Linked DNA regions of Arabidopsis thaliana. The protein of the gene in region 4 purifies or fractionates together with the protein of the main gene of each other region. This does not show direct contact. Each region holds a gene or a part of one and is shown on either strand. Other genes may lie near its edges.

Evidence for each region.
Region 1: the proteins of ROS4 (region 4) and AT4G31270 purify together in Arabidopsis thaliana (affinity purification with mass spectrometry, with the first as the bait; one study listed by BioGRID). This does not show direct contact.
Region 2: the proteins of ROS4 (region 4) and MBD7 purify together in Arabidopsis thaliana (affinity purification with western blotting; one study listed by BioGRID). This does not show direct contact.
Region 3: the proteins of ROS4 (region 4) and RPS5B purify together in Arabidopsis thaliana (affinity purification with mass spectrometry, with the first as the bait; one study listed by BioGRID). This does not show direct contact.

What each region holds. Positions count from the first base shown.
Region 1 is NC_003075.7:15,182,298-15,187,108, forward strand, and holds AT4G31270 (sequence-specific DNA binding transcription factor), read right to left. Parts: upstream 2,665-4,811; 5' UTR 2,588-2,664; intron 2,222-2,587; 5' UTR 2,207-2,221; coding exon 1,753-2,206; intron 1,425-1,752; coding exon 994-1,424; 3' UTR 891-993; downstream 1-890. Other genes in the region: AT4G31260 (uncharacterized protein), read right to left, coding at 296-490; AT4G31280 (uncharacterized protein), read right to left, coding at 3,504-3,588, 3,632-3,708; AT4G31290 (ChaC-like family protein), read left to right, coding at 4,554-4,662, 4,780-4,811.
Region 2 is NC_003076.8:24,093,301-24,098,690, reverse strand, and holds MBD7 (methyl-CPG-binding domain 7), read left to right. Parts: upstream 1-2,158; 5' UTR 2,159-2,268; coding exon 2,269-2,421; intron 2,422-2,701; coding exon 2,702-2,854; intron 2,855-2,939; coding exon 2,940-3,038; intron 3,039-3,221; coding exon 3,222-3,419; intron 3,420-3,508; coding exon 3,509-3,631; intron 3,632-3,744; coding exon 3,745-3,939; 3' UTR 3,940-4,332; downstream 4,333-5,390. Other genes in the region: SBT5.4 (Subtilase family protein), read left to right, coding at 1-418, 510-604, 683-1,796. UniProt on the Arabidopsis thaliana protein: Transcriptional regulator that binds CpG islands in promoters where the DNA is methylated at position 5 of cytosine within CpG dinucleotides.
Region 3 is NC_003071.7:15,646,558-15,651,451, forward strand, and holds RPS5B (ribosomal protein 5B), read right to left. Parts: upstream 2,915-4,894; 5' UTR 2,567-2,914; exon of another isoform or gene 2,488-2,566; 5' UTR 2,486-2,487; coding exon 2,393-2,485; intron 2,049-2,392; coding exon 1,777-2,048; intron 1,679-1,776; coding exon 1,475-1,678; intron 1,381-1,474; coding exon 1,326-1,380; 3' UTR 1,120-1,325; downstream 1-1,119. Other genes in the region: TTG2 (WRKY family transcription factor family protein), read left to right, coding at 1-235; ABCG33 (pleiotropic drug resistance 5), read left to right, coding at 3,843-4,129, 4,199-4,322, 4,402-4,487, 4,556-4,887.
Region 4 is NC_003074.8:5,039,131-5,047,955, forward strand, and holds ROS4 (Acyl-CoA N-acyltransferase with RING/FYVE/PHD-type zinc finger protein), read right to left. Parts: upstream 6,396-8,825; 5' UTR 6,199-6,395; coding exon of another isoform or gene 5,980-6,198; intron 5,893-5,979; exon of another isoform or gene 5,823-5,892; intron 5,745-5,822; 5' UTR 5,682-5,744; coding exon 3,414-5,681; intron 3,188-3,413; coding exon 3,070-3,187; intron 2,753-3,069; coding exon 2,670-2,752; intron 2,486-2,669; coding exon 2,244-2,485; intron 2,121-2,243; coding exon 2,034-2,120; coding exon of another isoform or gene 2,024-2,033; exon of another isoform or gene 1,840-2,023; coding exon 1,740-1,839; intron 1,537-1,739; coding exon 1,335-1,536; coding exon of another isoform or gene 1,288-1,334; exon of another isoform or gene 1,271-1,287; coding exon 801-1,270; 3' UTR 682-800; downstream 1-681. Other genes in the region: AT3G14970 (RING/U-box superfamily protein), read right to left, coding at 1-603; AT3G14981 (uncharacterized protein), read left to right, coding at 5,980-6,198; DJ1A (Class I glutamine amidotransferase-like superfamily protein), read left to right, coding at 8,380-8,400, 8,505-8,705. UniProt on the Arabidopsis thaliana protein: Histone H3 acetyltransferase that binds methylated DNA at chromatin sites lacking histone H3K4 di- or trimethylation and catalyzes H3K18 and H3K23 acetylation. Prevents the transcriptional silencing of transgenes and of some endogenous genes.

The DNA.
Region 1 (4,811 bases), on a different chromosome or scaffold from region 4:
GCTTTCTTGTTGTAAACTTGTAAATTGTAATCATCACCAATCAAATACTTTATTTTGTTGTGGAGCAAAGAACGGTGTGTTACTCAATCCTGCAATGTCTGAAATAATATCCCTTTATCAACGACAGCTTTTTGTTCTACAAAACTTTTGGCTCCATATTTCATGTCAAATTAGGAGCTTGGTAAACATAAAACAGTTAATTAAAAAGTGTAAAACTAAAACCACGCTCGTCTTGTATAGGTCGTTATAAATGTGTGTGTTTTGGATGGCGATCCCTTTATTTCGTAATTGATATTCAGACAGAAAATATATTTGGAGTCTGGACGGAAGCGAGAACACCACCGCAAGATCGGATATCTTGAATTGGAATTTCAGACTTAACTTTGTCTGGGTATAAGCTACGAATGATAGAACCGGCTGCTTTGGAGGCAATGAGGAAGCTCTCCAAGGAGTTTCTTCCTCCAGGTACTTTTGACTTCAAGCCCATCATTGCGTGATCCGGATGCTTTGAGGGCTCATCTTATGGATGCCATGAATCAAGCGAGAGCTGTGCCAAAGCCATAATTTATCTTCTTCTTTTTTGCAGTTTGCAACATTCTCTGAACAAATTCTATGTAACCTCTTACTATGTTACTTATGACATTGTTAAATCTTATACACTTTGGGGACACCAAATCCACAAGCTGGTAAGATACTAAAGAACATTGGGATATATTGCATAGCTTGAAAGTATAGAATCAGTACGAATTATTATACAAAGTCGATTTCCAATTGTTAAACACAAAAGACTCCATGGCCCAATGGATAAGGCGCTGGTCTACGAAACCAGAGATTCTGGGTTCGATCCCCAGTGGAGTCGGATTTTTATGCTTTTGCCCTGTTTTGTATGTATACTTGACAGATTACAGACAGCTTTTGAAAGTCTACAAGTCTACAACATTATTACGATTCATGGCTAAGCATTTACAACTGATAGTTTATTCACATTGTAAATCACTCGATTTCTTGTGGAACTTCATGAAGCCTATTAAGGGTACTAACAATTTCACTCAGACAACCGATGAGCTCGTCTCCTTGCTGTCTCACAGACTTCAACTTGTCGTCCATACTAACACCATCCTTTGTTTCATTATCCTTTGCTAGATTTCTCCCGACTATCGCATGTATCAAGTCAATTTTATAACTTAGCTTCGCTTCCATCACTTCTACATCCTCTTCTATGTTCATTGTTTCATCTTCTTCTTCATCTGTGGACATATCTTCCACCGGCTTCTTCTCTCCCATGGTTTTGTTCTGATGGGTTGCTTTTGTAGTTATAGGTTTCTCTCGAGTGTTTACTTGAACTCGGCTAGTCCGTGGCTCTTCTTTCTTTGTCTCCTTCATGACCATTGTTCGCTGTCTTGATCTTTTTGATCCTACAAAAGCTGAATTTAAAACCAGAGTGATTCAAATGGTTAGCATAAGAAGAGTGTCAGTGTGTCAGTGATTCTGGACTGATCCGAGTAACTCCAAATATAGCAGTTCAGAGTTTACCTGAAGATGGTGACTACAAAAAGAGCAATATAATCATAGTGTAGCTCACGGTAGCAAAGTGTTCTACATATATTTCAACTATAACTACACCGACAATTTTCGTCATTCTGTATCTTGAAGAAGTGAATAAGTCTGTCTATGCACTATTTGTTCTTAAGATTCCTTAAAGGCCTAGTTTCATTTAGTAATGGGGCAAGAAAAGGATAGTGTATAGTGTACCTAATTCAGCAGAGAGATCAACAACGTCTTGCGCTTCAGGGTCACTATCAGATTCAGTCCCAGCTTTTTCATCTTGGATCATCACAACCGCATTGATGGCTTCAAAAAGCTCGATATCGATATCCCCCGGGAGATTAAGTAACTTCCTCTTGTCACTACTCAGGGACCAATAGGAACGACCAGTGCCTCGGTACTGAGATTCCCACTTCTTGATCTGATTGTAATCAGACATCAAAGAATCCCATTTCCTCCTGCATTGGTTTAGATTTCTGCTAACATCCAAAGCGTTGCAGTTCTCTGTGATCATTGTCCATTTCTGGAAGCTAGATAAAGCATTCGAACAATCGGCTTCAACCGCAGCGATCTCATTCACGAGGACTAGACAATCTTTGACTGCCCATTCTGGAGCAACTTGAGACCGTGTTCTCCGTGAACCTGAAGTTCCTTCCTCCATCCAAAAAGGCTTAAACTGCAATTTGGTTTACCAACCTCGTTAATATCATCATCATCAGTAAAGACATTACAACATAACTGTGATTTGAAACTCTAATAAAACCTATTGTCAATGAACAATAACCAAAGAGGTGCATCTTCATGTTTCTGAGTTTTGTATAAATCTGAGAATGGTAAGCGATATTGAAATTCAGGAACTAAAGTACACAGATAAACTCCACAAAAAATGCAGCTAGATTTTTCAACATTGAAGAATAATAACTCGGTACCAAACAAATCAGATACAAAATTCAAACAAGAATCCAGACGAACACGACTGGAGAATTCCAAACTGGAGAAAGAAGAAAGAAGAAAGAAGACAACTTTGAGCATAAAAAATTACCAGATCGCCGGAAACTGCTTCTGGAAAACGACACGTCGACGCCAGGCAAGTCACTTTGAAGTTTGCTCCAAGACGATGAGGAACCGAGTGAAGCCGAAGCAAATTTTATTGATGTTATCTGTCAACAGGCCCAAACGTTTTTTTATTGAATTCGGCCCAAACCTATTTTTTTTGTTTAAATGGCCCAAACTATAATTAGATATTGATTTTGAAGAGAAAAATAATTTGTTGTTCTTTGTCAAATTAATAGTATAAATTTTTAGACAAAAATCTTTACTATGAGTCAAGCGAACCCACTTTAACATGTAGTATTTTACTGAACATTTCCAAATTACAAGACCTCATCATCCAATATAGAATACACTCACTCGCCTGATGAGTGATCCAATCCTCAAAAAGCATAGTAACAATTATAATAATGCATTTATTCCAATTTGATATTTGAAATAAACAAAGATATTTTTGTGGAGATTCATCTAGTTTTTGCTTTCTAGAAATATTTTTTATGGTATAATTCGAGAAGAAGCGATTAGTCGTGGGAAACATTTGATAGTTTAGTCTTATTTTTATGTACCAGTGACGTCGGTGATGGCAATGTATGTATATGGCTTTGTGTAACAAATACATTCTGACGTTTGTGTTTTTGTGACTGTGTCTTTGTTTGCCTCAAAATTCAAATTTTAACACTTTTTAAATAAGCCAATAAAAAAAAAAAGGAAAACACTTTTTTGTCTTTAGCTACCAAGGTAGACAAATTATTTGAAACTTGGAATATTTTAGGAATGTGTTTGGCTTCAAAAATAGTGAGATGAACAAATAAATTCTAGATTTTGGATATATGAGTTTCCATAAGAAACAAAACAAATATTTCAATTTATGAATTAGATTAAAAATTTCTTAACATGAGATACCTTGTTTAGAGAACAAAGATATTTCTTTTAGAAACAAGCGTCTTCACCGGCCAGTCACGTGACGAATGGAAAACGGAACAGACAAAAAATCTGCAGAACACAAAAAAAAAAAAAAAACATGCGTGGCATGAACAATACGGTTCGGTCTCCATCTCTCTCTCTATAAATGCTCTTCTTCCCACACATCGCCTCCTCCTCATTAAGATACATCTCGAGAAGCAGAGCAGAGAGAAAGAGATTCCGAGAGAGAGAGAGAAGGAGGGAGAGAAGGAGCTTAGTGGTCTCATTACCATTACCAGCTCCATACGAACCGAAACGACGCCGTTCGCTCAACCCTTTTCTCTGCAATCTCTCTTCCTCCCACGAGTTTCTCAGCTTTTCTCGGATCATCTAATTAAGAGAGGAGATCTTGTCTCACGGTGGGATTGATTTTTCTCTTCACGAAGATCGTGTTCCAGGGTAAAGTTTTGATTTTTATTCATCTTACTCATTTTGGTTAAAGTAGCTTCTGTTCTCAGCGATTTTCTCTGTCTCGTGTTTATGTTTATTGTAGTTCAGGAAATGTTCTTACTGTTCTGTTTGATTATATGATTATTGCACCAAATCTGGCTAGAAAAAGTCAATACCTTTTTCCCTTCTTTCTAGAATTTGGGAACACTGTTTACTAGATTTTTGTCTTTGTTCCAAAAGTTTGTTCATTCATGTCATTTACGGGTTATAACTGCACCACCATTGCTATGGAACGCATAACCTACCTAGAAAATCTTCCTTGCTTTTCAAAATAAAGAAAGGGAGAAGATTTGATTCTTTTATGAACTCTGAGCTGTCCTGAAGAGAACCCAATATTTGAGCTTATCTGTTTACATTTAAAGAGGAAGTGACAATAGAAACGCTGGTCCATCGTGATTTGTCTTACTTGTTTAGCTCTTGTCTTGTCTTTACTACATGGTGCCTTTTTCTGGCATTTACCATCCACAAAATCATGATTTGTGTCTAAATCTTAGATTTTGTCTTTTTTTTTGTGTGTGTGTATGTACAGCAATTAACTGCAGAAAATGGTGATGTGGGTCTTTGGCTATGGCTCTCTTGTGTGGAACCCAGGATTTCACTACGATGAGAAAGTGTTAGGTTTCATCAAGGGATATAAACGTGTCTTTGATCTTGGTAACCCTTTTCTGTTAAGATAACAGTTTTGGTTCTTTGCGTATTTGATTGATTTATCTATTCGTCCCAGCTGTTGATTATTGATTGATTGATTTGTGTTTTGATTTGACTTGGTAGCTTGCATTGATCATAGAGGTACACCAGAACAC
Region 2 (5,390 bases), on a different chromosome or scaffold from region 4:
CGCGGCTGGTAACTTTGTTCCCGGAGCCAATGTGTTTGGTATCGGGAATGGAACAGCCAGTGGTGGTTCTCCTAAAGCTAGAGTCGCGGCTTACAAGGTGTGCTGGCCCCCTGTGGATGGCGCGGAGTGCTTTGATGCTGATATTTTGGCAGCGATTGAGGCTGCCATCGAAGACGGCGTGGATGTTCTCTCGGCTTCAGTGGGAGGAGATGCTGGAGATTACATGAGCGATGGTATAGCCATTGGATCCTTCCACGCCGTCAAAAACGGGGTGACGGTTGTGTGCTCTGCTGGAAATTCAGGTCCTAAGTCTGGCACTGTCTCAAACGTTGCACCATGGGTTATTACAGTCGGTGCTAGCTCCATGGATCGGGAGTTTCAAGCTTTTGTTGAGCTCAAAAACGGCCAAAGCTTCAAGGTTTGATACTTTGACCTCGTCTTCTTTTTTTTTTCTTTCACTTTTGGTTCCTTTCTTTCTTGTGCTACAAGTAATTAATTTTGAAAAGCAGGGAACAAGCCTCTCAAAGCCTTTGCCTGAAGAAAAGATGTATAGCCTCATCAGTGCTGCAGATGCTAATGTAGCCAATGGAAATGTGACAGATGCGTAAGTAAACGCTTGATATCTATTTTTTGGAATGTGTATAATTAAGTAAGTACTAATTAACTAGTGATGGTTACATAGATTGCTATGCAAGAAAGGTAGCCTAGACCCGAAGAAGGTGAAAGGGAAGATCTTGGTGTGTCTGAGAGGAGACAACGCACGTGTGGACAAGGGAATGCAAGCGGCTGCTGCTGGAGCTGCGGGAATGGTTCTATGCAACGACAAGGCGAGTGGAAACGAAATCATCTCAGACGCTCATGTTCTTCCTGCTTCACAAATTGACTACAAAGATGGTGAAACTTTGTTTTCTTACCTAAGTTCCACAAAAGATCCCAAAGGTTACATCAAAGCACCTACCGCTACGCTGAACACAAAGCCTGCTCCTTTCATGGCCTCTTTCTCTTCCAGAGGACCAAACACCATCACACCAGGGATCCTCAAGCCCGACATCACTGCACCCGGTGTCAACATCATAGCCGCCTTCACGGAAGCCACGGGCCCTACAGACTTAGACTCTGACAATCGAAGAACTCCTTTCAACACCGAATCAGGAACTTCCATGTCCTGTCCTCACATCTCCGGTGTCGTTGGTCTTTTGAAAACACTTCACCCTCATTGGAGTCCTGCAGCTATCCGCTCAGCCATCATGACAACTTCAAGAACCAGAAACAACAGACGTAAGCCCATGGTTGATGAATCCTTCAAGAAAGCAAATCCCTTCAGCTACGGTTCAGGCCATGTCCAACCCAATAAAGCCGCCCATCCTGGTCTTGTCTATGATCTCACCACAGGAGACTACTTGGACTTCCTCTGCGCCGTTGGCTACAACAACACCGTGGTTCAACTCTTTGCCGAGGACCCACAGTACACGTGTCGCCAAGGAGCCAATCTTCTCGACTTCAACTACCCTTCAATCACTGTCCCAAACCTCACGGGCTCTATCACCGTCACCCGAAAACTCAAAAACGTTGGACCACCTGCTACCTACAACGCTCGTTTCCGAGAGCCACTTGGAGTTCGCGTCTCCGTGGAGCCAAAACAGCTCACGTTCAACAAAACTGGTGAAGTGAAGATATTTCAGATGACTCTTCGTCCCTTGCCAGTGACGCCTTCAGGCTACGTTTTTGGAGAGCTGACGTGGACTGATTCACATCATTACGTTAGGAGTCCCATCGTCGTCCAACTTTCAAGCTAGCCTCATTCTTCATTCTACTTCATCGTTCTCACTTTTCTTCTATGAATCATTTTATATGTTTGGATAATATTTTAATGTTCAAAAAAAAAATAAAAAAAATTGAATTAAAACACATTCTTTCTTAAAACAGTTTAATTTTATTTTGATGTTAACAAATAACTATCGGCATCATATAATTCATTACCTAAAATAAAATGTATAGCTAGTAAACCAAAAACATTGATTATTTTTATTATCTTTGTGATTAGCATATTTGATTTGCATGTGATTATTAACTTTATTTTTCATTAATCATCTTCTAATTACAGAATTTGTATTAAGGTAAAAATTTGCCAAGTGGACATATGGTGCTTTTTGCGTGTCGTTACGTGAAAGCAGTGACAGAGAAATAAGAAGTGTGTGTGGCTTGGACGACCAAACTAAAAACCACACTCTCGTCTCGGGCTTTTGGGTTAGACCCGGCAACGAAGCGATGCAGACGAGATCCTCTTCCTCTCCTTCGGCTAACCACCGCCGCGAAACCCAGTTGCAGATCGCGGATCCCACCTCGTTTTGCGGCAAGATTATGCCTGGTTGGACCGTCGTGAATCGGCCGCGATCTAGCAACAACGGTGTTGTTGATACGGTAAATATGAGCTACATCAAGCAAATGTGAAACAAAATTTGAGCTTTTTCTCAGAATTTGAACAATTAGAGCTAATTTATGTCTTTTGTGCAATGGATATGTATGACCAAAGTGTAATGCTTGGATCAGATTAGTGATTGTGTTGCCACAGAGCTCTTGATTGTTGCTTGAGAGGTCTATGAGTCGTTTCTTTGGGTATATGCTTGAGTTGAAGATAGATCTTGTGGTTCTCTTCTGAAAAGTCTCATCTTTACTTGTTTTTGTTTTGTTTTGTGGGCAGTACTTTATCGAGCCAGGGACTGGTAGACAGTTTTCATCACTAGAAGCTATTCACAGACACTTGGCTGGAGAAGTAAATGACAGACGCTTGACTCGAGCAGGATCCTTTTTCCAGGACAAGACAAGGGTTTATGAAGGATCAAGAACCAAACAGGTCCTTTGTTCTGATTTGAAATTACAGAAGCATATGGTTCTTCTTGGATCAAATACTTAAAATCAGTGTGTTTATGCTTTTGCAGGATCACTGCGGAGTTGAATATGCCTCCAAAGGTTTCCGATTGCCTAGAGGATGGTCCGTTGAGGAGGTTCCGAGGAAAAACTCTCATTATATTGATAAGGTACTAATGTAGAGACTTGCTATAGCTATTTTAGACCCTATGCATAAGTTACTGAGTCACATAACTAACAACTGAGGTCGGTTAAATGTGGGATGTGAGAAGAGCAGAATGTGAAAAGGATACGTTGAATTGGTGGTTTTAGGATTGAATCTCTGGCTAAACCGTTAGTATTGTTCTTTGCAGTATTATGTTGAGCGAAAAACAGGAAAGCGCTTCCGTTCTCTTGTTTCCGTTGAGAGATACTTAAGAGAATCCCGGAACTCTATAGAGCAGCAGCTTAGGGTTTTACAGAATCGCCGTGGCCATTCCAAAGATTTCAGGTTACCTGATGGATGGATCGTTGAGGAGAAACCGCGAAGAAGTTCCAGTCATATAGACAGGGTACATATCTGATACTTAGGTAGTTTGGTTATATTTGGTTTGTGTCATATAGTCCAAACGTTCAATACCGTTAGTACTGTTGTTTGCAGTCATATATTGAGCCAGGAACAGGGAATAAATTCCGTTCCATGGCAGCCGTTGAGAGATACTTGATATCAGTCGGGAACATTACACTTGACTCGGTTTCTATGGTGCATTCGGAGCGGCTTCCTGTAAGTTTTCTAAGCTTAAAGATAGATGAAGTTTGATTTTAAGCTTTACATCATTTAGAGGTAAAGAAGATGAACCATTTCTATACAAGGTTGTAACGGTTTGACTGTGGCAGCTTCTGATGAACCGGAATGGTATCAGATTTCAGAGCGAAGTTATTGACCCAAACCCACCGAAGAAAGTAAAGTGGGTTCTTACCGGTTCCGGCGGAAACATGTTCACTGCGAATGTACGCGGATCGAATGTCTCTAGCTTGGTTAAACATACATGGTCCGAGGCATTTGTTTCACTGATCGAAGACCGCTCTTAACCGAACTAGGTTTGTCAATTTAGTTTACGGTTAACAAGAGCTAATTCCAGTCGGTAGTCTGTTCAAGTTCATACTTCGGTCTAGTTTATAACTGACCCAAATAACCGGCTTTTCCAAAATTTTCAATTTCATATTCGGTGTGAACCGGATTTTGGTTATTCGGGCAGGTATGTTAGTGCTCATATTAAGTTTGGGGACTTAAAATTCGAAGTTGTCTGTAGTAAGGTGTAAATAATGGTTCAAAATTCCAAGCTTGATGTGAAATGGTTGTCTAAGAATGATTTTGTGTGCTTCCTCTCTAATTTTTGTATTAACAACTTCTCCTCGTTAAACATACTCGCCAAATACTTAGTATGAATCTAACTATAAATGAAAATCAACATTTTGTGTACGCCCCAAGTGGTTCTCACGAGTATAATATAGAAATTTACAAGATTATTTCGATTATGAGAGTCCATCGTTATTACTAACGGTTAAAGCTAGTAGCTCACCTTGGTTTCTTGGATTGAGACTTGAGAGGGTTTATATGACAATTATATCGTATTCCATGTGAGATATAATTACCTCTCTTCACCGGTTTTTGCTGTGAAACTGTAGAAAAAATAATGTTAACTGTAGTAAAACTGTGAAGCACAACGTGTACACGCAATCACAGATCTTTTTACCAAAATATGTATGAATTCACTTCAATGAAGTCAGTCACCTACTGCAAGATCTTATGTATATTTATATAATTATCTCTATATCTATCCTTGAATGTACCGCAATAGACTAGATATATGTCAAATATAATACAGTGTACTTTATTTTGAATTTGGTCTTAACCTTTTTCTTATTTTTGTCAACCTTTACTTTTAACTCAAAAGCAAATATCAATAAGTGAATTATCATATGCTTTGTATGTGTAATTCTATATTTAATTCCTTTTTTGATGTGGAACTTTGACAAAATAAACCAAATTCTTAAAAGTCTGGTTTCCATACTAATGAATGCAGATTGTGGGAATTTATAATGTATTTCTCCTTTTGCATAGAGTTTAATGATGTACAATGAAAAAGATTTTGAATAACAGTGCTATTTAAGACTTCTAGAAATGGGTAAGTGGAAACTTCTAAGATTTCAAAGTCAAAAGACAACATTGTTGTTGGTTATTGAAATTTCTTTTTGGTACGATTATTTTTAAAATATTGTGTACGTGCTGCAAATTGATATTGGAGTTGACGCCACAAAAGCCAAATAGGCCAGAATTAAAGGGCATAGAGACTTTTCCCTGAATAATTTGTAGCCTCAAGGTACCACCCCAACATTGACTCTAAGCTATTTACACTTTCAAGGAAAACTATCACTTTACCACATTTCAATGGAGTATTCAATAGTATATAAATAAATGTTTTCGATGTATTTCTGGTAATTTCTGTAAACTAATCACGCCAAGTCAATTTGTTGGAGGG
Region 3 (4,894 bases), on a different chromosome or scaffold from region 4:
CAGGTGGAGAAAGTATGGACAAAAAGTGGTAGGAGGCAATGCGTATCCAAGAAGTTATTACAGATGCACAAGTGCTAATTGCAGAGCAAGGAAACATGTTGAACGAGCGAGTGATGATCCAAGAGCTTTCATTACAACCTACGAGGGTAAACATAATCATCATTTGCTCTTGAGCCCTCCATCTTCCTCTACTCTTCCCTTTAACTCCCCACAACTTTCTAAGCAAACAATTTGATTTGATGATCCATTCATGCTTTTTCTTTTTTCTTTTTCTTTTTTTGTTAAGAATGAGAAAAAAGAAGAAGCAAATGGTAAATACAATCACCATTTGCTCTTCACTCACAACTTCCTAAGCAAAAGCCATTTGATCAATTCATGCCTGTTTCTTCAATCTTTATACCACATTAGTTAATTAATCGTGTGAATTTATTTGTTTTTACATTAAGATTGTAAGGACAAGAAGATTGATGTTATTTTAACAAATCCAAATAAAAACGTGTGTTATATTTTTTAGGGGTAACTTTCTTCAATATGTTTAGTTTATCGAACTTGAGAAATTTGACTTCATGGGACCATTTCTTTTCTGTTCACGTTGCTAAACATAATGCAATTTCCATCGGTGTAACTCAATTACATTGGTGGTCTATCGAAATCCTCTAGATCTCAGTAACCACGTTGGTATTGTACTACCTTTCCAAGGAACATAAGATAAACTCATAAGCTTAATGAGTTATCTATCCGATACTTGTTTACATTTTCGCGGCGTGAGTCGAAGGGAGAAAGAATCACATGTCAAGATCACGCCTTGTATATCTTGTCCGTAGGATTGAAAGGCGGGTCATGTCTCGGAATTGAGAAGCCCTTAACCACCCGACTTGAGCCATGTGGGCATATACACATGATTTGCCATCCAGAAATGCTACTTACGGTATGGACACCATTGAGCCCAAATGCCTTTAAATGCAATGTACATGGTGCTTGGAAGACTGACAGGGAAATTAGAGGCATTGGTTGTGTCCTTAGAGACTCAAAATAGATTGTTTGAGTTATCTGAAATTTTTCATGGCTCCATCTACATCTTTTATCTTGGAGTAGCAGCAAATTGGAAACCATATAACTACCATGATTTATAGCACTTTAAACTGAAAAATATATAGATGAAATAATTTTAAATATGAAACCGTTTGATGATCAAGATCCCAAGTCGATTATAAGCGTCAAAATTTCATTAAAGATAGAGAGATCATCTGAAACATATCCAAAGCTAATGGAAACAACACAAAAACTCTTTGATATAATGCAAACTTAGAGGAAAGGGAGATCCCTTAACGATTGGCCTTAGCAACTCTCTCAATCTCATCTTTCTTCTTGATGGCATAGCTGCAAGACAAGAGAAGATGCTATTATTAGCTTAACTAACTAACAATAAAGTGAAGCCATCAAGAGACAGACTATGTAGATAGAGTGTTCTTACCTGTTGGAAGATCCCTTTGCAGCATTGATGAGTTCATCAGCAAGGCACTCAGCGATTGTCTTGATGTTTCTAAAGGCAGCTTCACGTGCACCAGTTGTAAGCAAGAAGATCGCTTGGTTCACACGTCTTAGAGGAGAGATATCAACAGCCTGCCTCCTAACCACACCAGCAGATCCAATCCTGGTAGCATCTTCACGTGGACCACTAATTCACATAAAGAACAAACCTTCTTAATTAGATTCAGTTCATAGTAACAAGCACGCAAGAATTTTACAGGTTTCAGTATAGCAATCTTAATATACCTGTTAACAATGGCATCAATGATAACTTGAATCGGGTTCAAGTCAGACAAGAGGTGGATAATCTCCATGGCATGCTTGACGATCCTGACAGCCATCAACTTCTTACCATTGTTTCTTCCGTGCATCATGAGAGAGTTAGTGAGCCTCTCAACAATTGGGCACTGCGCCTTTCTGAACCTCTTCACAGAGTATCGTCCAGCAGTATGGGGAACAAAAGTTGCGTGCTTCGATGGCTGAACACCAATGTAGTCCACAAGACTAATATCCGTAACCTACATAACACCAATATGCAGATCAAAAACAAATATTAGCACACCAATCATATAAAACACAAAAAATACATGACCTTTAGTGTCAAATTAGTGTTATAATCAAAACAAACACAACATGGGTTTCAGTGAAGACGGACAAAGATTATAATAGCTAAGATCTAGTAAGTGACTAAGTGAGGACTATAATTTGATATAATTCACACAATAAAGCTAATGTAACTACTCATATCAATATAAACCAATCATTTCAATGTCTATCATACAGCTAAATAAGAATTAGATCCTAGACAATTCTCAAGTGTCTAAAGAGATATTCTAAGAGAAGGGATTGGTGAGGAATATACCGAAACGTCATCAAAGCTCCAACGGTTGAAGAGCTTAACCTCATTGGTAAGCTGCTGTTGAATCTCAGCGTCGATTTCTGCGGAGGCGGCCATGACTGGAGGATCAATAGAAGATTAGTAAAAACCCGTAAATAGGAAATTAGAAAATGAAAAAACAGGAATCAGAGAATGGACCTGAAACTCTATAAGTGTCGAGAGAAGTAGGGATCTTTAGCCGCGGCTTGAAGAAGAAGAAGAGAAGGAAGCTCAAGCAATGAAGAATAAACCCTAAAAATGAGTGTTAGTAATGTTCTGTTTATAAAATGGGTTTTATTGGGCTTATGTTGGGCTTTTGTGTTTTGTTTTAGTTTAGTTTCTCTCCGAATTGGACACAGTTTGGCTATTGGGTTGTATTTATGTTGAGAGACTGACTAGATTAGGTTTTATCTTTTCTTGGCAATAGTTGAAGATACGGTTTTATCTTTTGTCTACATAAATCATCATACGTTGCATCGAACAAAGTTCTCAAAATGCTTACCAACTTGATTTACAAGTGACATTTTATTATTCTTAAGAACATGAAGAATACATTCTTCTTTGTAATGATGACCATACAGTCATCTTTTTTCTTTTCTGTCTCAACCATCCATCATACTTTATTAGTACTAATTTATATTACTATTATATGAAAAGAAAAACACGCATCAATTAAGCCCTAAATATCGGCTTTGACGTGCGTCGTAGTGACTTTAATTATTACAAGGAGCATATTAGCGACTAGCGACTATCCAAAGTATGAGCTTCAGAACTAACTTTTTATTACAAAATACATAATTATCGTTTATGATTTCAATGTGTAAACTGTGATATGAATCTTTTTAATATTTGATAAAATAAAAGAAAAGTCGCAGAGTGGGAAGGATATAATAATTTTTTTCATTTTTATTTCTTACTGCACGTGGGAATTAAGAAACTACACAAGTTTTCCAACTTATTAAGCTATTAGTCAACTTCTTAAAAATATAAGTCTTACTTTATTGGTTGAATTGAACGACATGTGTATTGCTACTTTAACTTATTCGAGTTGTTAATTTTTTTTTTTTATCATCATCATTCGAGTTGTTTAATTGTTTAATCACAAAAAATTAAAATGGAAAATTACCTAAAAAAACATTATATTATGTTGTTGAGAATATTGATAGTTAGTATGCAACAATTCTTTTAGTAAGATCATGATGTTATTACCTTTACCTTCTACCACCTAACTGTTTGAAAACACATTTTACTCAATTCATATATTATATTTTACACATATACATAAGAAGGAGACAAATGCATATTTCTTAATTGATTTCTGAGCATTTCAACAGAGAGACAAAGAACATAGGGACCCGTTGAGGCATGGCTCCTTTGGGTGTAGAAGAAGAGCAATAGTTACTGTGAGTGGAGCTTGCAGAGATTGGAAAAAAACATGGGATCCAGTTTTAGGAGCAGTTCTTCAAGAAACGAGCATGAGGATGGTGGTGATGAAGCAGAACATGCTCTGCAATGGGCTGAGATCCAGAGATTGCCAACTTTTAAACGGCTGAGATCGTCTCTGGTCGACAAATATGGTGAAGGTACGGAGAAAGGGAAAAAGGTTGTTGATGTCACCAAGCTTGGAGCCATGGAACGTCATTTGATGATTGAGAAGCTGATCAAACACATTGAGAATGATAATCTCAAACTTCTCAAGAAAATCAGAAGAAGAATGGAGAGGTGAGGTTGATAGTGAATACTGAATATGCTTCTTGAAAGTATGAGACTTGAACTTGAAAAAATCTGCAGGGTTGGTGTGGAGTTTCCAAGCATAGAGGTGAGGTATGAGCACTTAGGTGTTGAAGCAGCGTGTGAGGTCGTTGAAGGGAAGGCACTTCCAACTTTATGGAACTCTTTGAAGCACGTTTTCTTAGTGAGTATACTCAAGAATGTAATGCAGATGAAAGCTTGATTGTAGCTGGTGTTGAATTCTACTTTTTTTTTTTCTTCAGGACTTGTTAAAGCTGAGTGGTGTAAGAACAAACGAAGCGAATATAAAAATACTTACCGATGTTAGCGGTATCATTAGCCCGGGAAGGTTAGTTGCAAGAGGTACTTTCTTTTGATCCAAGCTTTTGAGCTAATGTATGTTATTGTTTTTACAAGGTTAACACTGTTGCTTGGTCCTCCTGGATGTGGCAAAACTACTCTGCTTAAGGCTTTGTCTGGAAATTTGGAAAACAATCTTAAGGTTTTAGATATTTTCTCTTTTGGATGCTTTTTGCTGCAGATGTGTGAATCATGTCTCCTTTTTTTCTCTCTCTTTTATTTTCCACAGTGTTATGGTGAAATCTCCTACAATGGACATGGACTGAACGAGGTTGTTCCTCAGAAAACATCGGCATATATAAGTCAACATGATCTGCACATTGCAGAGATGACTACAAGGGAGACAATTGACTTCTCAGCTCGTTGTCAAGGTGTCGGTAGCCGAACAGGTAGGTG
Region 4 (8,825 bases):
ACCACACGTGCGATGAAACACGTGAGAACACGGCATTCGACCCGCAGCCACATCCAATCCAATCCGGATCTTATCCATGCATATCACACACCAACTTTCATTCTCAACAACAACCGTCTCCAAGTGTTGCTCCACCGCTTCATTGCTCGCCGGGGCCACCGCAAGTCTCACATCTACATCATCATCATCATCATCAGGAAACCTCCACACAATAACATTGATGACTACATCTACCTCTTTCACGTTAGAGATCTTATCACACTTCTTTAAATCAAGGATCGCATCAATGAGTTCTGTAACAACATCAATATAACGAGGGGCTTTAATCAAATCAAGAATGTGACAGACAATGACTTGTATTTGCTCCCTATCTCCACTGAAAAGCAATCCTTTATCAAACTCGTGAGTTCGATCAACGAGTAGAGTTTCAAGATCGAGAGGATTTTCATCTTCTCCATCTGAATTTACTTCAGGGGCAAGATTGTAACATAAATGAAACTTGAACATCAAGTTTTGGGTTCTGCCAAAATCGCCTTCATCGTTATAGATCGGATAATAGTAAACGAAGCTGTCGGGGTCTGGATTGACAGCATCAAAAACCATGATTTGTTCGGAAAAATGGGCGTTTTGATATTTGGTATTTAGGGTTTTGAGGCTTGATAAGACTTGAAAATGAAAATGAAAATATAGAATCCTCTTTTATGCGGTTTCCTTATCTTAGTAGGGTTTTCTTTCAAAAAAAAAAAAGTGACGAGAGGATATAGAGAAAGAAACGATCATAGTTTTTTAGTCTAATAATATTATTCCGAATCCTGAGAGCTATCAGAGTCAAGCTGTTCATCAACACAAAGCAACATCTCATCGCTAACATTATTTACTACTCCTAGTCCTAGACCACTAACTTCTTCTAAAGCTGCAGAGGAAGAAGAAGCCCTTGTCGTTTCTTTTCCTTCTTCTGATAACTTTGATACATCTTTCTGCAAACATTCTTCTTCTTCTTCTTCTCCTATAGAGACTACTGTTGTTTTATTTGGCCTATCATTGGCATTGCTGTCTCGGCTTGGGTTCTCTGTTTCTGAAGTTGGTTCTGTTTGATCGGCTCCGAGTGGTACGGGGAAGCCTGGGGATGGCTCATCATCTGAACCTGCTGGAACCATCTGATCACAGCTCTCAACTTGGGTACTCATGGGAGACCCGGCTTTGTCTAGACCTGGCTCTAGATCTGCTTCTTTGTTTGATGGGTTATTGCGTTCTTTAGAAAGACATACACCTGTACAGGAGCAAAAATCAAATGAAGTTCGTTCGAGAGAGAGGGAGAGAGGAGTTGGCTTTACCTTTCATAGTGCTGGGTTTTGTGCTCTCGTATAGTGTTTTCTTGAGCAGAGTTGTCCCAGGGAATACCATCAAGTTTATTCTTTTGAGAGCATCACGCTCTTCATCATCCATGGGTTTGAAGCCAAAACCTTCAGTCCAAGTTTCCACTAAACTCGGCAATGCAGCTACCACAAGCTTCTCCACTTTGAGAGACATAAGCATCTGCAGCCAAAACCAATGAATAGTTTTATCTATTGATAGCCCAGGGATCAAGACAAGACTGGAAGAGAGATCATATGAGCTAAGGGATTATCAAGGTCAGCATATGAGCGGTGCTGTATGTCTATCATTGTACTAAGTTTAGACATTATTAATGTGGATGTAGCTTCAAGAACAACCACATGGTTACATTCTAAATATCGTACCTCTTCAATGGCAGCCACGAGGATTCTACACATGCCCTGTCGGCGATATTTGCTGCACGTAGCTACAAGAGGCATCTCTGCAATAGTTACTCCGTGCACCCTGGATATAGTAAAATGGGGTTTATATGTAACTCGTTCCAGTGGATGGAAGTGAAAGAATAGTTCTAAGCATCCATTTGGTGATAGTGTCAAATTTTGTTTCATTGCCTGGAGGTTCTAGAAGACATACCAAACACTTTGATAGCCATGAGATTACTGTTTTTTCAGCATGAATTCGAGTTTCTTCATACTAACCTGATAGATGCTACTGAGATCATCACATCATCCTTTTCCACAACCACTGTGTAAAACCCATCAAAGTCTAACCGAGCAAATGTTGACCTTTAAGTGCAACAAAGATTCAAAAAAGGTAAGACAAAGCGATGAAAATGAAGAGCAGAACTGAAGGTACAGAAGTAACAAACAGAAATCTAAGTGTGCAAGCTAATGACAAAAGGACGTTACCCCCAGTTGTATAGCACATGAGGTATCATGTCAATACCAGTTCTTGGATCTACCATAGACAGAAAGCTTTCCTCCATAATTGATAGGGCAACAGCTAATTTCGAGTTGCATTCAGCCTTCAGCGCCAACCTTCGGGCAGAATGAACCATTCCATCTTCTTGAAAACATTTAAGAATTGACCAAGACAGACCATCAGCATTAGGGTTAATGATCCCAACACGAGAACTAAGACCATTGTACACCTGCATTACACGAGCTACTTAATGAGAACCTTGAAAGTTGTGAAGCAGCTGTAACATGCTAACATCTTCTTTGTTTATATGTCAAAGAGCCCAAGAGCAGCGAAAAATATACTATTATTCTCAATGTAAATTTAAAAACTACCCATTAGTTGTTTAAGTCACAGTGACTAGGTATGATTAATACCTTCTCGCAATTTTTACCACAAAAGTAGGTCTCTGGAAAAAGCTTTCTGCGTTTACTTATCCCTTGCAAACATGTTCCATGATCTGATAACATAAAGGTAACAATCATCAGCCAAAGTGGATTTCATACCAAAATAACTAATGTGGGATCCAACTGTCGCGAGAGGCATAACTCCAAAAGTGAGTTTTACAAAGTGTCAATTACTAAAGAAAGAAAATTGGAGAAGTGCTGAGCCTGGCAGAAAACCACCATCTACAACTGTTACTGATGAACAGTGACATCAATCGTGATAAAATCTCAGTGAGACATGATAGAAGAGAATTCAAATCAGGGGTTTCCTTTCATGTGATAAAGAAATAAATCATAGTTTCTAAGAGATTGCGAGCTGTAAGATGATTACATTTATGCGCACACTGGGAACATTTAAAGTCCTGAGAGCGTTCAGCATTATCACTAACCAACTCGCTGCATATCCAACATGTGCAGCTCGAGCAATACCAACTTCCTTCAGGGAGCACCTGGGTAGAAAAAGCAAAAGCAATACAGCAACTCTCTTTAGAGGGTACCAATTTAAGGTAAAATATCCTAGTTATACTAATGCCGTGTAAGTTACTAGAGTTGAATTAGTAAGAATCACAGAATCAGCCAAGAAGTTTCACCCATGTGTATGTTTTGCAAAGAGTTAATTACCGGGATAAATAATAGTTAAAATGTAAATATACCCTGGAATGAGTCAGACAATACCTGCATTGATAAGCACGCCTGATGGAAGGTAGATGGACAATTATCACAGCAGATCAGCTCACCCCCATCACCACAAACTCCACAAGAATCATCATTTGGATCATCATCAGAGGCTTTCTCTAATCTCCATCCATTTCTTCGCGCCTTATACTCAGCAGACCAAGCTTCCAGCTGACATGAAGCGAAAGGCTTTCCTGACCCCATGAAAAGATTCAGACATGGACAGTTCTGGTTAAATCCAGCATGGTTCTTGAATTCAGAAAGTGACACAGTCTTGTTGCAACATGTACAAACCACTCCATCTTTAGTTACCAGGCCTGTTTTTACCACAGTATCATCATCTGGATCTCGTAACTGGATTACTTCGTCTCTAGAAATTACTTTGGTAGCTATCAACCATGATAAGACAGTTCTAGGACCCAAAATAGACCAATTTCCTTGAAAAAAATGATTTTCCACATTGCTTGAGCTTCGGGGAAGCAACCTGCACCCTCCCCTATTGTTTCTTTTCTTTGTTCTAGCCTTTGGCTTCTGTGTTTTCTTTTTCTGGCTTGATCTGCTGAACTTACCTTTGTTTCTGGTTATTGTCGACCCCATAAGGTCATCATCTTGAGTATAGTGCTTCCTAGCTTTCTTTCTTCCTTTCTTTGAATTGCAACATGAATTATTCATCTTCTCATTCCTCAACCTTTCATCCCGACTTCCCTTTGAGACGAGGTGAATGTTGCCCATCTCTTTATCCTGGAATTCAAAGCTATTGAGAGAATTAGAATCTAGTGAATCATGTTGGTCCAAGGAAGCTGGTTTGATATCGGATATTTTCTTTGATCTTCTGTGTAAGTTCTTTCTCATAACACTTTCATGCATGTCTTCTGCTATCAATTTTGAAGCTACAATGCCCTTGCTAGCCTCCTGCTCATGAGTCCCAGAGATTTCCTTACCAATTATGCTCTGCCTCTCTAGTCTTGAAGAAACTTTTTGAGAGGAAATTTTAGTTTGCACCTCAAGATCTGAATGTATCTCTTGGTTAGCATCCACGTCATGAACAAGATGACTGCCTTCAGATACTGTCAGCACACTTTCAGGACAGCCTGAAATCAGGTTCAAACAAATTGTATCTTCTTTCTTCAACTTGTCTGGATTTGAATTCCTTGCAACTTCAACTTTATTTCCTTTTCTTAAAGAACCAACTTGCTTAGAAATGAAGACAACAACCACAAAAGGCTCTAAGGCACTCCACCAAAGTGCCCGTGTGTTAGCAAGATTTAAATTTTTCATGTTCTCCTCGATGTCCAACAGTGTAAGAGAGAGATCGGACCAGAAGTCATTAATACCAGTCCATTTCTTAGTACCAGTATCCATTAACTTACGATCAGCTAATAGGATCCCACCCAATGCTTTCCAAGCTGACCCAAATTCACGAAATTTCCGTCCCTCTGGCGATATGTAAAATGTGTCTACATGTTTCCTACCTGCTGATCTTTCGCGCTTCTCAATTTTCCATCTGGCAGCAGTTAGAACCTTACAGACATACTTGTAGAGAAGAGGACGGGGGTCCTCTTTAGGATCAATCTTTAGGCAGGTTTTAGACATAATTAACTCATTAGGAGATACTTTAGATCCGTTGTTCAACTGTAGCGGGAAGCAAGCCTTCTCACTATGCGGCGTAGAAGCACCTACAGAGATCATTCTGGTTGCGAAGCTCTCCTGAGAAACAGGAGAGGCAATAGCTTTAAATTCCTTTCCATCGCATTTGTCCAAGTTTAGTGACTTACACTTTCCAGACACAATGCCACCCAGATAAACTTCTCTTCCCTTTACTATGCTGTGCTTCAACAAATATGAGCTAGTTGAAACACCCTTGTTAGATGATTCAACTAAATGGAGAGGTATCGTCTCTCTAGCTATGTCCGAAGTTGGAAAACCATGCAAAGCAGATCCCTTTTCGTCCCTTGCATCCAAATGCTTATTACCTGAAAGCTTCACTCTCTTAGCTTTAGTGTTAAAATCTGAACCATCTCTTGAAGCAGATGCCTCAAAACCTTGTGGACATGCATATCCACTAGTTACCACAGAGTTGGAACTCAGAGAGGAATTGACATTCTTACTGGAATCACATTCGAAGTTAATGGCTCCAGTAACGAGACATCTTTTAGTAGTATTTCCAGGATCACTTCCAAAGAAAACTTCTCTGAATATCTGATGATCCTCATATGACCCTTCAAAGCAGTCACCTCCTAACATCTCAATCTCAGCTCCGGGAAGCATCTCCACAAACTAACTGCATATTCCACTTCACCTTAACTTAAAAGGAAGGTTGTAGATAGATACCTGCAATTATATAAAGTAATGAATAAACTCACAGAACCCAAAAGTTTGGAACTCGACATCCTAATCCAAAACACATACCCATAAGCGGAAGCGGATTCAAAACAAGATAAAATCAGAGATCCTTCTAGAAAGGCCAAAACTTTGAAGCCTAGAGCAAAACGATAGACCAGATTTCATGAAATTGAGATGTTATAATGACTAATTACATCCAAAAAGAAAGCTCAAAAATTGGGAAATGCAGGACATTACCAGCATGCAGAATGAAATCAGAGCTGTGAAATCGGAGAAATGGCTTCTTCTCACTGAAATAGACTCATTTCGTCGCCCTTATCCTCTCCAACCGCAAGTGGGAAACGCATTTTCATTCCATTTCACGTTCTCTGCACTCACACACTCTCTCTCCTTGATCTCTATCTCACACACAGAAAGAACAACAATTTGTCTATCTTTTTAGCTTTTTCTATAATTGTGGAAGAAACCCACCTCTGATTCGGTGTTAAATCTCTCAACCAAAATTCATCAGATAGATAAATTCTGACGAACTTTTTTTCACCTCTCTGAATCTGCCTCTATCACTTTGTTGTGCACAGTGTGTGTATACTTATTATTGGCTATTTCTTTCTCTTCTCGTTTTTTTTCTTTTTTTCTTTTCTATAAATTGTGTGCTGTCACCAAAAAGGCATCTTCGTGTTTTTATTTTATTTTTCCTTCGTTATACTGAAAAAGTCATTCTTCATTTTTCACCTTAAGATTCTGTCTCCTCTCTGATAACAACGGACCAGCAGTTATAGTATATGGAGTACTTAAATTCGTTTAATTACACAAATTAAAACCCAAATATTCGTCGTTTTTTTCTTCTGTTATCAAATTCTTAATCCTGTTAATGACGATCGTATCACTATAAGCCAATATTAATGACTATGGTTTTAAGTTCTTGACAAAGTTTTTTTTTACTAAATTCGCCACAGACAAAAACTGTTCTGACAAAAATAACAGACAAACTAAAATGAAAAAAAAGGTTAGCATATTTAATTGCCAGGTTTCTAACTGTTCTTCTGTTGTCGTTTTAAATCATTTCAGCTTATGTTTTTGTCCTTTAAAATTCAGTCATCACCGATTGTAACAGGTTTTGTCTTAATATGTATAATCAATATCTGTTAAGTGGATTGGATGCTTTGTAATTTGCGCGGGGAATCTTTACGTGTCTTAACGATAACAAATACTGTACTATCAAATAGGTGCATGCGATGATGGACATAAGTCGTATTTTAACCTATTTTGTTGTGTGAACAGATTAGTTATTGCATGTTTTGTATTAACTATATATAGGAATACGGCTCTGAATCTTTGTTTCTTCTTATTCGATTTTGATATATGAAAATTCCAAAAAGTACATGTACCAGTACGATGAAAACGACTGTGTTATGTGAAAGTATTTGTTTTTAAAAAAAAAAATATTTAGAGGGGATCAATTCTAGATACTTTTTTCATTTTTAAGGTTTAACTATGGTTAAAAAGAAACGATTCTTTTTTAAAAGGGTAGATGGTAGACCTCATTTGCTAATTTTGATCCACATAAGTCAATAACAAATAATTCGGCTCGCTTGCGAAGCTAATGCATGAGCCACGTGTTTTGCTTTATATTTGGCTTTCTGTATTGAGACATTCTTCTTCATCCTAATTGTGAATGGAATATGTTGGACCCAACGAAGCCATCAAACATGGTTAAAACACACAAACATGTGATTTAATCTAGTTTAATTTCGTCTATTACAATATAAGTGAATTTTGACACACATCCTTGGATTATATCTAAAACGTTAAGTTTGTTAAAAACACTTTGGACCGGATAATGGGTATTGATCATTTATTGTTTGTTGCATGTTGGGTTAGAAATTAGAGATCATAACAAAAATCATGATTTCAGGCTGTCCATTTTGAAAAATGTGTGTGTTTGTGTTAATTTGAATACACCGATTCATCCAAAAACCATCTGAACAGTCTCTTAATTAGTTTACCGTGTATATATATCATATTTATGGGATCATATTTGGTTAAGTTTAACTAGTAGTTTCAAATTTCGCGTTAATAGCTATTTGAAAGGGTAGGAGTACTTTTTCGACCGGTTAACACTCCCATATAAAGCCCATAAATTATTGGAACGCTACAAAATTAACAAAACATCTCTTCAGAAGTTCGTCCGGTTTACTCTACTACAAAGTACATGTATCAAAAACGACAACACGTGCTTCCACAAAATTAAGAACCAGGACGTGATGTCGTTGTTGTAATACTTTTTTCTCGCCAACTTCACGCCGTCTTAGTTTACCGAAACCAAAGTGGCTTTTTCTGATTTTATCCAATACAATGACGTGGAAAGACTCAAAAGAAGCTTTCGCCACGTTCCACCAATGAATGTTCGACACGTATCGTCGAGTTTCTTTTTCTTTATGCTTACGTCATCGCACACGTCTATCTTCTTTTGGTTAAAGTGATAAAAAGGAAAGTCGTAAATGGCTTCGTCACTGAGTCTTTCCTACTATTTTAACCCCATTAGTGACACTCCTTTCTTCTCCACTACACTCCATTTCTCTTTCTTCTTGACTCGACCATCGTTTCTCTAATCTCCGCAACTATGGCTTCATTTACGAAAACGGTGTGTGGGGTTTCACGATCCCGAGATCATACTTTTTTCCCTCCTCGTACGTAACGATTTTTTTTTGTGATTATTAATCCAAGGTTTTTTGGCGTCTCTTTTAGGTTTTGATCCCTATTGCGCACGGTACGGAGCCTCTAGAAGCGGTGGCGATGATTACCGTGTTGCGTCGAGGTGGTGCTGACGTGACGGTGGCGTCTGTTGAGACTCAGGTTGGCGTTGATGCTTGTCATGGCATCAAGATGGTCGCTGATACTCTTCTCTCTGATATTACCGACTCTGTTTTCGACCTTATTGTGCTCCCCGTAAGTCTCTCTGCTGATTTAACATTGTCCATTTGTTTTGTTTCTTTGTGTGTAATCTAAGAACTAAGGACAGCCAATAAGTGGATCGATCAATTATCAATTAGCTCACTTAACTAAAGT